Cricetulus griseus: one gene and its partner. The protein of the gene in region 1 purifies or fractionates together with the protein of each later gene. This does not show direct contact. Links are inferred from orthologs where the notes say so. Each region holds a gene or a part of one and is shown on either strand. Other genes may lie near its edges.

The links. Proteins that work in one complex are often made in the same cells at the same time.
Region 2: the proteins of Fbxw7 (region 1) and Med13 purify together in Homo sapiens (affinity purification with mass spectrometry; 5 studies listed by BioGRID and IntAct, with this or other methods). This does not show direct contact. The link is inferred for Cricetulus griseus from reciprocal best matches to the Homo sapiens genes FBXW7 and MED13.

Annotation. Positions count from the first base shown.
Region 1 is NW_023276806.1:69,599,866-69,606,341, reverse strand, and holds the start of Fbxw7 (F-box/WD repeat-containing protein 7), read left to right. Parts: upstream 1-2,653; 5' UTR 2,654-3,791; intron 3,792-6,476. UniProt on the Homo sapiens protein: Substrate recognition component of a SCF (SKP1-CUL1-F-box protein) E3 ubiquitin-protein ligase complex which mediates the ubiquitination and subsequent proteasomal degradation of target proteins.
Region 2 is NC_048600.1:99,605,405-99,611,978, reverse strand, and holds the start of Med13 (mediator of RNA polymerase II transcription subunit 13), read left to right. Parts: upstream 1-2,570; 5' UTR 2,571-2,694; coding exon 2,695-2,760; intron 2,761-4,619; coding exon 4,620-4,854; intron 4,855-6,574. UniProt on the Homo sapiens protein: Component of the Mediator complex, a coactivator involved in the regulated transcription of nearly all RNA polymerase II-dependent genes.

The DNA of each region.
Region 1 (6,476 bases):
CCATTTGTCACACTTTAACACAGCAGGCAGATCTTTGATAAACTGATGAGCCAGGGAAAGAACCGTTAGCCAAAATAAGTGTTTGGTTCTAATTTACTGTTTTTGAAATCTGATTTAACTGATGTATTTCTCCTATTGATTATCAGGCAATAAATTTATGGAACTGGCTGGGCCTTGGTGGCGCACGCCTTTAATCCCAGCACTTGAGGCAGAGGCAGGCGGATCTCTGTGAGTTCGAGGCCAGTCTGGTCTCCAGAGCGAGTGCCAGGACAGGCTACAAAGCTACACAGAGAAACCCTGTCTCGAAAAACCAAAAAAAAAAAAAAAAAAAAAAAAAAAATTATGGAACTGAAAGGATATAGAACAAGTTGGAGATGTATGAATTCCCTCCTTTCCAGCGGCCAGGGTCTAACAGCTGTTTTCTCCTGTTACCAGTCTGGGAGGGGAGGTGAATGGATCTTATTCAGTAAGCTTAGTGGAGCTACTATCCTCAGTAGGTGGCTTGGGGCTCTTCTGAGTGCCATTCTGTCCCTCAGTGATGAGGTTATAGAGTGGAACCATTGGCAATGAAACAGATCAGGCCTTTGAACACGGCATGACACACAGGTTTCTGGAAGCATTTTCAGTTGCAGAGCTCTGCAATTTGTACTCTTCCCATTCAAAGTTCACGAAATTAAACTCTGAGGTGCTCGGCTTCACAAACTTCTCTAACCCTACATTGCATTTCTTTAATTTCTGCTGTACGGAAGAGAGTTCAACAAAATAATTATGTTGTAGCCATGTCTGGCTATTGCTTATTGATCTGATTCCCTGTGAGTATAAGTTGAACTTGGCAGGTTTAATGGATCATGTTTGCAGACCATCAAACCCAGCATTAACTAGGGTGAGAGATATTTGACTCCTGGGATTTCAGGTGAAGTACAACAGGGCCCGGTGCAACTTGTGAGTCCGTTCTTACTTTTGTGGCATCCTCCTCCCCCCTTTATTCACATTTATTTTTTTTTGCACAAAAATGAAACCTTGATTTATCAATGTAGACACTTCATTTCACTGTTCGAAGTGGTGGAAGAAGTGGCAAAACCCTGGGCTCCCCAAATACGTGGATAGTGTATTTAGTCCCATCTCCCCAAGCAAGGTTGAAGACCTAAATCGCCTTTGATATCCATCATTGCTGCTTACAGAGCAGGGGTCGGGTGCAGGGGTCCAGCCACACAACTGTGGAATTTGTTTCCCTTTATCTTTGCTGCTGCTTTAATCTCATTCTCCCACCATTAAGAAGGGCAGGCTCAAGACAGATTTCTGAGGATTGTGGTCCTTTTTATCTTGAAAATTCTTTTACTTCGGCACCACAGTTTAAATTTCTGTAGTTTTCCCCAAAACTTAAACAGAATCTGTAGGACAAACAGCCCAATATGTTAATAACAGAGGAGGGGGATAGAGAGGGAAGAAAGGAGTGAAGAAGGGAGGGAGAGGGAGGGAAGAGTAAGATAAGGGTGGGGGGAGGGTGAGAGAGAGAAAGAGAGAGAAGAGAGAGGCAGGAGAGAGAAAGAGGAGCGCGCGGACGCGCGACCGCTTTTGAGTAAGTCCTAAGACGTCGGCCAAAATTTTTTGAAGATATTAAAGGAGCGCTGTAATGAACAAGATCAGTTCTTCAAAAAAGTCAAGAGACAAGCAAGAATGACTCTTAAAAGACAGGCTCGACTACATCCGCCCCTTGAAAACGTTTTTAAAAAACTCTATAATATCCCAGAGTTGGTTCTCTTTCAGCCCTCTGATCCCCAACCCCGGTAATTCACCTACTTTCCCACAAAAGCCTGAAGTTGCTGCTCCCAACGTCAAGCCTCATCCCTTTCCTTTCACAGCTCGAGGGTGGGGGTGGGGTGTATCACAACTCTCAGGTTTCTACGCCGCAAATTACAAAACGCTTGCACTTCCACCATCACTGCCGAGTTCTGGGACTGCGATGCGAGACGCATTCATTCATTCATTCATTGATTCATTGATCCACTCACTCACTCACTCACTCACTCACTCACTCAAGAAACCTTCGCACCGCACCACCACCACACATAATGCGGCTCAAGGTTTCACCCCCACGCCACGGGAAGGGTGGAGCGCTTGCTCCCTGGAGCAGGTGCAGCAACTGAGCTGTGGGTCAACTTCTCCACCCGTCTCGCTGTTCTAGAACCTGCTCCGGGCCAAATGCCTCACCTTCGGGTGGTGCGCGCCCTAGCCCGGCCCCGGGGCCTGGGCCGCCTCCTCGTTCCCAGAGGAGCAGTTCGCACCTGCCCCGGAGGGAACGGCCACGGAGCTCTCTCTCCGCGCCGCCCTCGGGTCAGGGGTAAGATCAGGCGGTAGCTTAGGCTCGCCTGGGCTCCTCCCCTTCCTCTCCAGTTCTGACGCGGCCGTAGAGGCGGTGGCGGCGGCGGTGGCGGCGGCGGTAGCAGCAGCAGTCCCGCGGCCCGAGGCGCACCCACCCGCTCGCAGATCTCGACTTCCTCTTCCCTTGATGCGTCATCAGAGCGCGCGGCAGTCTCCCAGGGCGGGGTGGCCGGAGAGGGGGAGTAAAGGCCCGCAAAGGAAGGCGCTGAGAGGGAAGAGAAGGGAGGGGGAGGAGAGCGGTTGCTAGGCGACTTGCGTCATCGCCGGGCGCCGCTCTCCTCCCGCCCCTCTCAGGAGTGAGGCGAGAGCCCCGCACAGAGCGAGGGAGACAGGGAGCTGAGCTCCGGGCGCTGCCGACGCCGCCGGTGAGAGCGTGAGAGCGAGTGAGTGAGCGAGCATCCGAGAGACCGGGCGCCCGTGCACTGACCGCCGCCGAGACCTTCGCCTCAGCCCGGGCCAGCGGGAGCCGCGGCCGCCGTCTGCTTCCCCCCCTTACCTTCCCGGCCGGCAGCGGCGGCTGCACACGCCGGAGCCGGAGCCCCAGCCGGAGCCGGAGCCCGCGGCCGGGGGGCAGGGAGGCGGCTGCTGCGGGTCGGGACTGGTAGCTGCTCAGCCGGGAGAGGACGCCCGCGAGGGGCTGGGCTTTCTGCCTCGCCCCGGGGCGTGGGGCGAAGGACCCCCCGAGGTGTAGGGAGGGGGTCCCGGCCGCCGCGACACATGCGGGAGCCGCGAGCGGGGGCGGCGCCGATCCGAGCCCGCCAGGCCACCAGCTTAGCCGCCGTCCGGTCCGGCCGCCCGGGGCCGTAGCATCCCTTCGCGGAGTGTATGAGCCGGGGCCCCCAGCCCAGGAGCCACCCCCGGGCCGGGGGGGCGGGGACCCCGATGTGAAGCGGCTGCGGCGGCGTGGTGAGCGGCCCGGGCGCCGCCGTCCTCTCCTTCCCCTCCCCTCCCCTCCCCTTCACCCCCTCTGGGGGGCTTCTTCTTGGGCTCGCCGCCGCCCCCCTCGGCTCCTCGGCGGGACTCCGGGAGTTCTCGGCGCCCCTCCCCGCCCCAGCCCCCAAGGGCAGCGGGGCCGGGGGGGACCCGGGGGGCCGGCCACAGCCTCCGCCCAGAGGAAACTTTACCCAAACAAAATCATCGAGCTTTACGATCGTGTCTGTCCCGGGACAAGTGGCCCAGGACGGGCAGAAGCCACAGTGTGCAGAGACCCAGGAAGAGGAAAAACGGTGAGCGGGTCGCCGCCGCCGCCTCTACCCCGGCAGCGCGGAAGAGACCCGGGTGGTTGCCTGGTGGAGCGACGCTAGCACCGCTTCTTCTGTTCCGCGCCGAGCCTTTCGCAGCTGCCGCCTCAGCCCGAAGGAGGAAGGGAGCCAGCCCATATTGTCAGCGCCACCGCTCGTCTCTGAAGCGTGAGTGGACTCGGGGGAGGGGGACGTTCTAGGGTAGCAATTGGGAGCCGGTGGGTGCTTGGTGCTGGAGTTTGGCTGTTGTTTCTCGGGAGGGTTGGGCATGGAGACCTTTCCTTCCTGCTGAGGGAAGAAGGCATCAGTTTGCAAGAGTAATGCAAGTAACAGGGGGCTTGACTTAGAGGAGCGGTGTCTCCAGAGTGGACGTTTGCACCTTTCTGCACACTGATCAGCAAAGGGAAATCGAGAAAGCCCAATGGACAGGTCTGTCCTGTACATTTTCCTGGCCACTGGTTGTGATCCAGCACAGAGTGGTTTTGTTTCAGGGAAACTCCCATGGATTCCCACGTGGGAATCACTTGAATCAACTCTTTAAAATTTTTTTCTCTTTCTTTCTTAGCTATTGTTTTTGAAGTTGTCCTTGAGAGAAGGACCAATTTTGGTTTAGTACACACAGGAGCTTGGTACCCCGGATACGGTATTTCCCAAGTCCAGAGATTCTGATGCATAAGGAGGATGTTTTTGTGTTTCAGTAGCTCAGGAGAGTTCAAGTTCCTAGGATGCACAACTCTTTGAGACTGAATTCAGGGAGAGCACTTAATGCATTACCGTTTCATAAACGTTGCAGCACTTTCTTTTTCCCTAATTCTCTTATCATTTTTGAGGGGAGAGTAATACATTTTATGTGATAGTATATTTTTCCTAGGATTGAAAGGGCATGCATGTGGCTTTTCTTACTTGACTTGTCAACTTAGAAACTTCTCACACTTTAAAGAAAGTATTTCAGGTATCTTAAGAGTGCTTTAAATTAGAGGTACAGGAAAGTAATGTTTCACATATATAAGGTTAAACATACTGTGGGATTTTATGTAACAAGGAACATAGGTAGTGTAAGACTGAGAATTCTGGTCCATTCAGACAATGGAAAGTGGGCAGAACAGAGATGCTCTGTAGAAATGAATGGAAACCTGGGCTTGTCTATCCATCTTAATTTCTCCATTTAGGATCATGATTAAATTTGTCTGATTGAAAGTTTCTCACATTTCACAATGTTTGGGCCCTGTTCTCCCCCTCTTTTTAAAGTAATTAGCCCAAAAGTTTATTAGTTTTTGCATTATGTAACAACTCTCTTATCTTCTAACTGCTTCCTCAAACTTCCAAGATACAGGTTGAGGAATGCTAAAGCAACCATGCGTTTATCTCCTCTTGCTTTTATAGATTTTGGTTATTCTCTTCTGTCATCTGTCCCAACTTTTTAATCTTGAGTACTTTTAGTTTTTTTCCATTTTGGATTTTCTAGCTCTTTTATTTTTCCTTAGATGCTTTGTTCTTTATATGTTTTCATAAAACACTGTAAGTTCTACTTAGTGTAAATGGGAATTAGCATGAAAATATTGGTGAATGAAACTTTAAGTTTAGAATAAAACATGTTTTTGGATCTGTTAACCTTATTTTGCAACCCTGAGTAAGTCATGTATTCCATTTTCCGAAAAAGGTGACTGAGAGACCTAGTTTTGCATAGTTTGCTTTTTGGGAAGAAGGGGGCTGTAAACCAAGAAATTATACCTTGAGTGTGTATTGCTTCGGTTCAAAGTTGCTTACAAACTTGAGGACCTGCTTTGCAAATTGGTTTTAAATCATGGAAGTACTTTATTGGCTGTAGAAATAACAACATTTAATACTTTCAGTCTTTGGGGTACCTTTTCTTATGAATGACAGAGGCAATTTCTTACTAATTCAGAGAACCAAAGGTGGAAGGAGAACACTGATTCCACAGAGTTGTCCTCTGACCTACATGCACATGAATGTAATAGTGGTAGTAGTAAAAATAAATAGGTTTTTTTAAAAAAAATGTAGGAAAGGAGGAAATGTATTATCTTTATTAGTCTAAGATCATGATATATACCAAGGACTGTCATTGCACCTTCCATTAGGGAAGTGTTGATTTTGGACTACCCAGGAATAATTGGAGTCTCTGAGCCAAATCTTGGAAGGGCTCCTTCAGGAAGAAAAGAGCATGTACAAACAAAATATTAAAGACTCAGAGTCAGAACATGTAAAGGAGAAGGAAGTTAGCTTGGTGGGAATACCTACCTACTGATGGAGGTTCTCGACTAGGGGTAAGATCAGTTTGCACTTGTGTATACACTCATGGTTACAGTTTATAAAAGAATTTGAAAACTGCTCCAGAGAGGGTAGTTTCAAGTGACTGGGAGAAATTATACTTTAGGACGAAGGCACTATTGCTGGCTTTAGGATTTTGTTTCTCTAGGAAACCAATCTTTTTACATTATGTGGGGGCTGCACAGAAGGAGGTGTGAAAAGGAAATGCTTTGAATGTTTTTTAGCTGGATGCTAGTAGTTTCTCATAATCAGGAATTCAGAAACAGTAGCAGACTTTGCTTTGGATGTTGATTTTTAGGTTAAGAGCTGGATGTCCATATATTTCATGTGTTGGCTCATTCTGTTTTTCTTTTCCTCCGCCTCTTAACTCTTTCTCTTTGATTTTTGAATCTGTCTCTTGTCCCAGGCTGACCTTGAACTTGCTGTGTAGCTGAGGATAACCTTTAACGTCCAATCATCCTGATCCTGCCTTGACTTCCTGAATGCTAAACTTACTGTTGTGTGTGCCACTATTTCTGGTTATGTAGGGCTGGGGATGAAACCTAGGGCTTTATGCATGCTATC
Region 2 (6,574 bases), on another chromosome or scaffold:
TGACGCCCTCTCAACCTGGATACTCCTCCCCCAGTGCTCCTGGTGTGTCAGAGTCGATGCATATCTTATTCAGGTCACTGCCTTTTATCTTATTCTGTAGGAAATATTTCTTCTATTGCCTCTCCAGAAATCCCGAGGAACAGGAAGATACAAAAAAAAAAAAAATTCTTTTTCTTTTCTTTTTATTTGAGAAGTCTTGCAATTACACCAGGCTGGTCTTGAACTCCTTGTCTTCCTGTCTCAGCCTCCCAAATACAGGGATTGCAGATGTGTGCCACCACTCAGTCATGATTTTAAAATTATATTAATGGTTAGCATTAATGTGATTAAGGATGCACTGGGACAAGCACTTATGACCAACATTATTTCATCAAGCATTTTAGGAGAAAGCTACTTTTATTATCCCTGATTTATGGTAAACTAATTTGATTTAAGGTCAAATTTGATCTAAGGTCAACTGGAAAGTGGCAGAACATTTTCTGCAAATTTTTGGCTTTAGGATCTCAGCTCTTAATCAGCATAGATGGACAAATAGATGGATGAAAAATACTTTTCATTCTGTGGCTCAAGAAGTAATCTTGAAGAGTCCACTATTTTAAAAAGATAATTATGATTTAAAATCATGATAGCTCCTAACTGTTGTCTCTTCTTAAGACAAGACCTCACTTTGTAGCCTTGGAGCTTGTTCTGTAGATCAGGATGGCTTCAAACTCAGAGATTCCCCTGCCTCTGCCTCCCCAGTGCTGGGATTAAAGTCGTGAGCTATCATGCCTTATGTCATTAACATCCCATATCCGCCCCCTCCCCCACACCAGACAGAGTTTCTCTGTGTAGCCCTAGCTGTCCTGGAACTCACTCTTTAGACCAGGCTGGCCTTGAATTTACAGAGATCCAGCTGCCTCTGCCTTCCCAGTGCTGGGATTTTAGCAGCCACTACCACCAGGTGTGTCATTAACTTTTAAATAGTCTTTCCCCCTTCTCTCCCTTCCTCCCTCCCTCCCTTTCTCCCTCCCTCCCTCCTTCCTTCCTATAATCATTTTAAAGCTCTCAAGGAAATTTTTTTGAATTCTTACACTGAAGAGTAAGCCAGCCCAGAATGATTGTTTGGGGGATGGAATTAACATCATATGTGGTTCTTCTTCCCATTCATTTGTAAGTTTTCAAATATCAAGTGCCTACTGTGTGCTAGGAACCTTTTAAGGCAATGGACAGCTAGAAAGAAAGTACCAATTATCATGATTCTTACTCTTAGAGTTCATTTGCTCCTCAAAATAACCATATAAAGTAATGATGGCAATATAAAAGTGTATGGCTTTACCGCACTCATCTGCGCCAGGCACTGAATTAGAACTCTGGTTGCATTAATGCATCATATCGCCAATATGAGGCTTGTTTCTCTCATTTTACAGATCAGGAAACTGAGTCTCAAAGAGGCTCCAGCTTCAAATCCTGTACAGCATGACTTTATCCCCAGTTTACTAGCCACAAGGCTATATTGTTTCACTTTTACCTCGTTATTATAACTCTTATAAAGGGCGGCTGAGGCTGATCTCCATCCAGCTCTGATTCTCAAGTCCAAGAGTTTTGAGCTGTACCCTGGAGGCCTTATGGAATAAATGAGAATGCATTGGAATTTTTTGTTGTTGTTGTTGTTGCCAACTTTCTCTTCCAAAGAATTCGAACTGATTTCCAAGTAATTCTCGTTGGTTTTGAAGTGAACCTTCCTGTACTGCACATTCTCCAGCCAGGAGAAAGCTAGGGCCAAGGCCCGGGTCATCTTAACCGGGGCATCCAGCAGATGGCGCCATCTTAGTAGCCACCAGCTGGCTGCCCGGTCCCCGGGGCTCCGAAAGCTTCTCTGCTCTCCCTCACTGCCTTCTCTCTCCCCCTCCCCACGGAGCCCGGGCCCACGTGACCTCACGGCGGCCAATGGGCGAGCAGAGAGGGCGAGCTGGTCCCTGTGGCCGCCATTAAAGCGAAGGGAAAACCCGTGAATTCGGATTAAAGGGGGAAAAACACCGCCCGCTGGGCCCACAAAATGGGGGAGACTACGGCGTACAGGCGGTGAGGCGGCAGGAGAGCAGACGTTAGGCAGGCTTGGCCCAGGGACAACACGAGGACGCAGCCGGAGAATGGACTGAGCCCTCAGACGCCGCCACCACCTCCGCCGCCGAGGAGACTCTGGGCTTAAGGACATCGCTCCTGCCGGGCCGGGGGCCCGGGCTGCTCCGCCGGTCCTCGCCCTTCCCGCCCCTCCGCGGGCGCCCCCGGGCCGGGGAGAACCCTCCCGGGCTTCAGGGCTCGGCCCGCTCGGACTCGGGCTCTTGACTATTTATCGTGTAACTGATAATTTTTTTTTGTTTTTTGTTTTTTTGCTTTTTAACCTTTTTTTTTTTTTTCCCGGTGGAAGGGGCACACATCCCTTCCCCTCCTCTCCGGAGAGGGACGCGCGTCCGCGAGCTCCGCAGTCCGGCGGCCGGCCGGCCGAGCGCGGCGCGGCGCGGCCCCGCCTGCGGCCTCGGCCCGGCGGCTGGGTGCCCGGGGCCGGGGGGCGGCGGGGAGGGCGGGCGGCCCGGCGGCCTCCTCCCCACCGCCCCCCGCCCTCCCCGGTGTCTGTGTTTCTCTCTCTGGTCGGAGGCGGCGGTAATGGCGGATGGTGGGTTGTGGCGCCGGCGGCGGCTGCTGTGAGGGACGATGAGTTCCTCCTTCGTGTCGAACGGGGCCAGCCTGGAAGATTGTCACTGTAACCTCTTCTGCCTGGTGAGTGCGGGGGCTGCGGGCGGTGGGGGAGGGGGCCGCGCCGGGCGCCCTTGGGCCGTGGGGGAGGGGGTACGGGTCTCATCCAGATGCCGGTGTCCCCCGGCTAGGCCCCGCCGGAGTCGGCCTCCTGCGAGGCTCTGCGGCCGCCCCGGGAGACAGCGTCCGCTCACCTACCTACCGGCCAGGACTCTGCTTGGAAGAGTCTTGTCTTTCCCCTTCTCCTGTCTTGTTTTGGACGCTTTTTTCCCTCCATCGTAGTCTTGTCCTTAACTTGGGTTTCTTATCTGGCCGGACAGTAATATTTTCTTGAGTGCTTCTTACTTACCACCCCACCCCCCCCACCCCGTATCGAACAGTGTATCTATCCCTTTTTCACACTTTTCCATGATTGTCCCTCCTTCACTCCCTTTATGCTTTTCCCTGCTAATTGGACTTCCCTTAAACAGGACCCCCCCAAAAAACTTACGTATTAAAGCCCCTCTCTTCGTTTTATAAGTTAAGCTAACACAGCGGTAGTTTCTTATGGGTGACTTCAGATCTTTGCGTACAAACGGCGTTCATATGTTTTCTTTTTAAACTTTGAAAACATTTTGCCATTTTGACAATTTCTAGCCATCTTGCTTTTATTAGAACATTATGTTTTTGTGAGAGTGGAGGGGCTAATGGAGGAGGTACTGTGGTTTCGCACTAAACGTTCTATGTTTGTCTGTTTTGCTTACGTTTAAAGAATGTTTTGCGCTGGCTGCTCCTTTTATTGAACTGAAAAGTCTGGGGACGCTGGATGTAGGAATGTTGTACTGTGTAGGTTGGCCCCAGTCGGGTAATAGCCAATAGTTTTTAAGACTTCTCTCAAAAGTACCAACTGTTGCAAATATCTAGTCCTTAATTAGGCGATAGCTGAGTTTCGTCAATGACTTTATGTTGGAGTGACTTTTTCATTTTTTTTTCCTGTGCGATGAGAAATATTAAGTCTATCATAGTTAAGTGAATTAAGTGGGTGGAGCATAACTAGTTGGCAAGCGTAAACTGCCAGTCATGTATCAGCAGTTTCATTTTTGGCACCTTATGCTTTCTGTCGCTAAGTTAGAATAAAGACTTGCTGAATTTCCTTTGTTGAATTTCCTTCGCAATGGTAAATGGGGATCTTTAACGAACTTCTACGTGGTGGAATATTTCTTGACAGTGTCCAGTAATCAGCATCTTCACATGTAGTAAGATGTACAGCATACAGCAGGTTTAACATTTCTGTCTTTCCCAACTGGATCTATTTTTGGCACTTTGGTTCTTTGAAGATAGATTAGCACAAATCTGACAGCTCTTTGGAAGTAGTTCTTTTCCTAAAGATGTGTGCTTGTGAAGAATTAACAGGCTTTTTTTTTTTTTCCGTTTAGAAAATTGTTCAGATGTCTTGTTAGAGCCTTGACTTCTTACAAACTTGAATGAGGGTCTTTAATTTTCAGTTCACCAAGGAACAAATGTGACTGACCAGTTAGAAAAGAATGTAGGGCAGAGGAAAGATAGACATACTGTGCAGTACTGGAATGCATGTTTAACATCATTGTCTCATTTATTAAATTCTGGATATGTTGTTGTATTTATTATAGATGTGCTATTCAGTGATATTGTTATTACTGTTTTTTAAAACTGTTGTGTGTTCTTTTCCTTAAGTTCTTGCTGGTTGAAGTATTAGAATTATTTGCATGATGTTTGTTATTTTGGTCATAGTCTTTAAATGTCTTAGGCATGCATTGAAAATAGTGATGTTTTAATGAAATCAGGTACTTTATAATGATTTTTTTTTTTTTTTTTTACTTAAGTGAATGTACAATAATATAGAAATCATGTTTTCTTTTCTTCAGGCCGACCTGACAGGAATTAAGTGGAAAAGATACGTATGGCAAGGCCCAACTTCTGCCCCTATTCTGTTTCCGGTGACAGAAGAAGACCCCATTTTGAGCAGTTTTAGTCGATGCCTTAAGGCAGATGTTCTTGGTGTTTGGCGTCGAGATCAAAGACCTGGAAGAAGAGAATTGTGGATATTTTGGTGGGGTAAAGATCCCAATTTTGCTGACCTTATTCACCATGACTTATCAGGTGAAAGCAATTTATTATTTTTTAAATCTGACTTAGCAACATTGTACATTTTCCCCAAAATGTTATTGGTATTACAAATTATGGTGTTAGTGTGTATACAGTTTACACAGCCTTATTAGTGTGAAGCAGTAAGAATGGTTTCAGTGTTTTATTTCACCATGATTGTTTTACTTTACGTAAAGTATCCATGTATATTATGGAAGATTTAAACTTTGAATAACTTTCTTCTTCCACCACCCAGCTTCCTTCCTTAATTTCTCACAGTCACTTTGTACCCAGGGAAGGCATTTTCATTGACCTAAGAAAAATGGAATCTGGAAGCATTCTCATAGTTATGTAATACTTTTGAAGCCAAGTGTAACTTACCTTTGAGTCTGTTCTGCTCTGATCTCTTTTGTGTGACACTGTGGGCGGTTCTAGAAATGTAACTTTATCTGGCATGTTTTTCAAAAGTATATTATTTTTATGATTATTTATTAACCCAGGGAAGCATATGCTATTTTTTTTTTCTTTTGGGGGGGCGGAAGCGGCTCTTAAATACTACTTCATCAAAGATTATATTGAGAGACAAGAGACAAGTACCACCTTATTTAACTTTTATAGGACAAAGGTCATTAATCTTCAAGGTTGCACAGAAATAGTTTATTATGAACTCGTCAATATTACTTACTCTCTTGACTTTGAGGGTCAGCTGTACTTTAGAAAGAAACTATAGCCCTTCATGAAATTACTCAAGTTATATTTACTTTAAACTCAGTGTAAGCAAATCTTTAAGTGATATACTTGGGGGAACCAAGTTCTAGTTTGGTAAGATTTTTGACAGATTGAATTTTTTTTTTAAAGCCCTTTAAAATTTTGTGTGCGAGGAGGGCGTGTGGGTGTGGTATATATGTGCCAGTGTTGTATGGAGGTCAGAGGACAGCTTTTTGGGAGTATCTTGAGACAGGGTTTTTCTGATGGTTTCTGCTGTTATGAAACTTATTTCAAGCTAGCTGGCCCTCTAGTTTCTGGCCAGTTCTGTGGTCTCTGCTTCCCATCTTACTGTAGGAGTGCAGGGGTTACACATGCTCTGCCACATCTGTTTTTTTATGTGGGTGCTGAAAATCGAACTCAGACTGGCTATGCTTTTACCCCCTGAACCATCTCTGCTGCTCTTTAGGCCATTTGAAAAAAGGCTTTCTTGTATGAAAGTTAGTACTCTGTGGTTTCTGGCTTTGAGCTGTAGGATCTGTTTTATTTTGCATGAAATATAATCCAGGTGTCAAGTAGCCCTAGCGCTGATCTTGAACTTACTATGTAGTCAAGACTGGCCTTGAACTCCCATTCCTTTGTTTCCTGCTGCTATTACAGGCATGTACCATCAGACCAGGCTCCAGATAGTTCTATTTTGAACTAATACTTTCTAAGGTCAACATATATGGTTTTTACTTTTTGGTTTTGGTTTTTCGAGACAGGGTTTCTCTGTATTGCTTTGGAGCCTGTCCTGGCACTAGCTCTGCAGACCATGCTGGCCTGGAACTCTCAGAGATCCGCCTGCCTCTATACTACTGGGACTAAAGGCGTGCACTACCACTGCCTGGCTTTTTTTTTTTAATTAGAAACTTTTTGTTTTTAATGGATGCTTTTTTAGTATTGAGTGGTGTGGTTGTTTTCTGATAGAGCATTTTAGCTTTCCCAAGATGCTTACTAACGAACTGAGTCCTTAGTTCTAAGTATTATC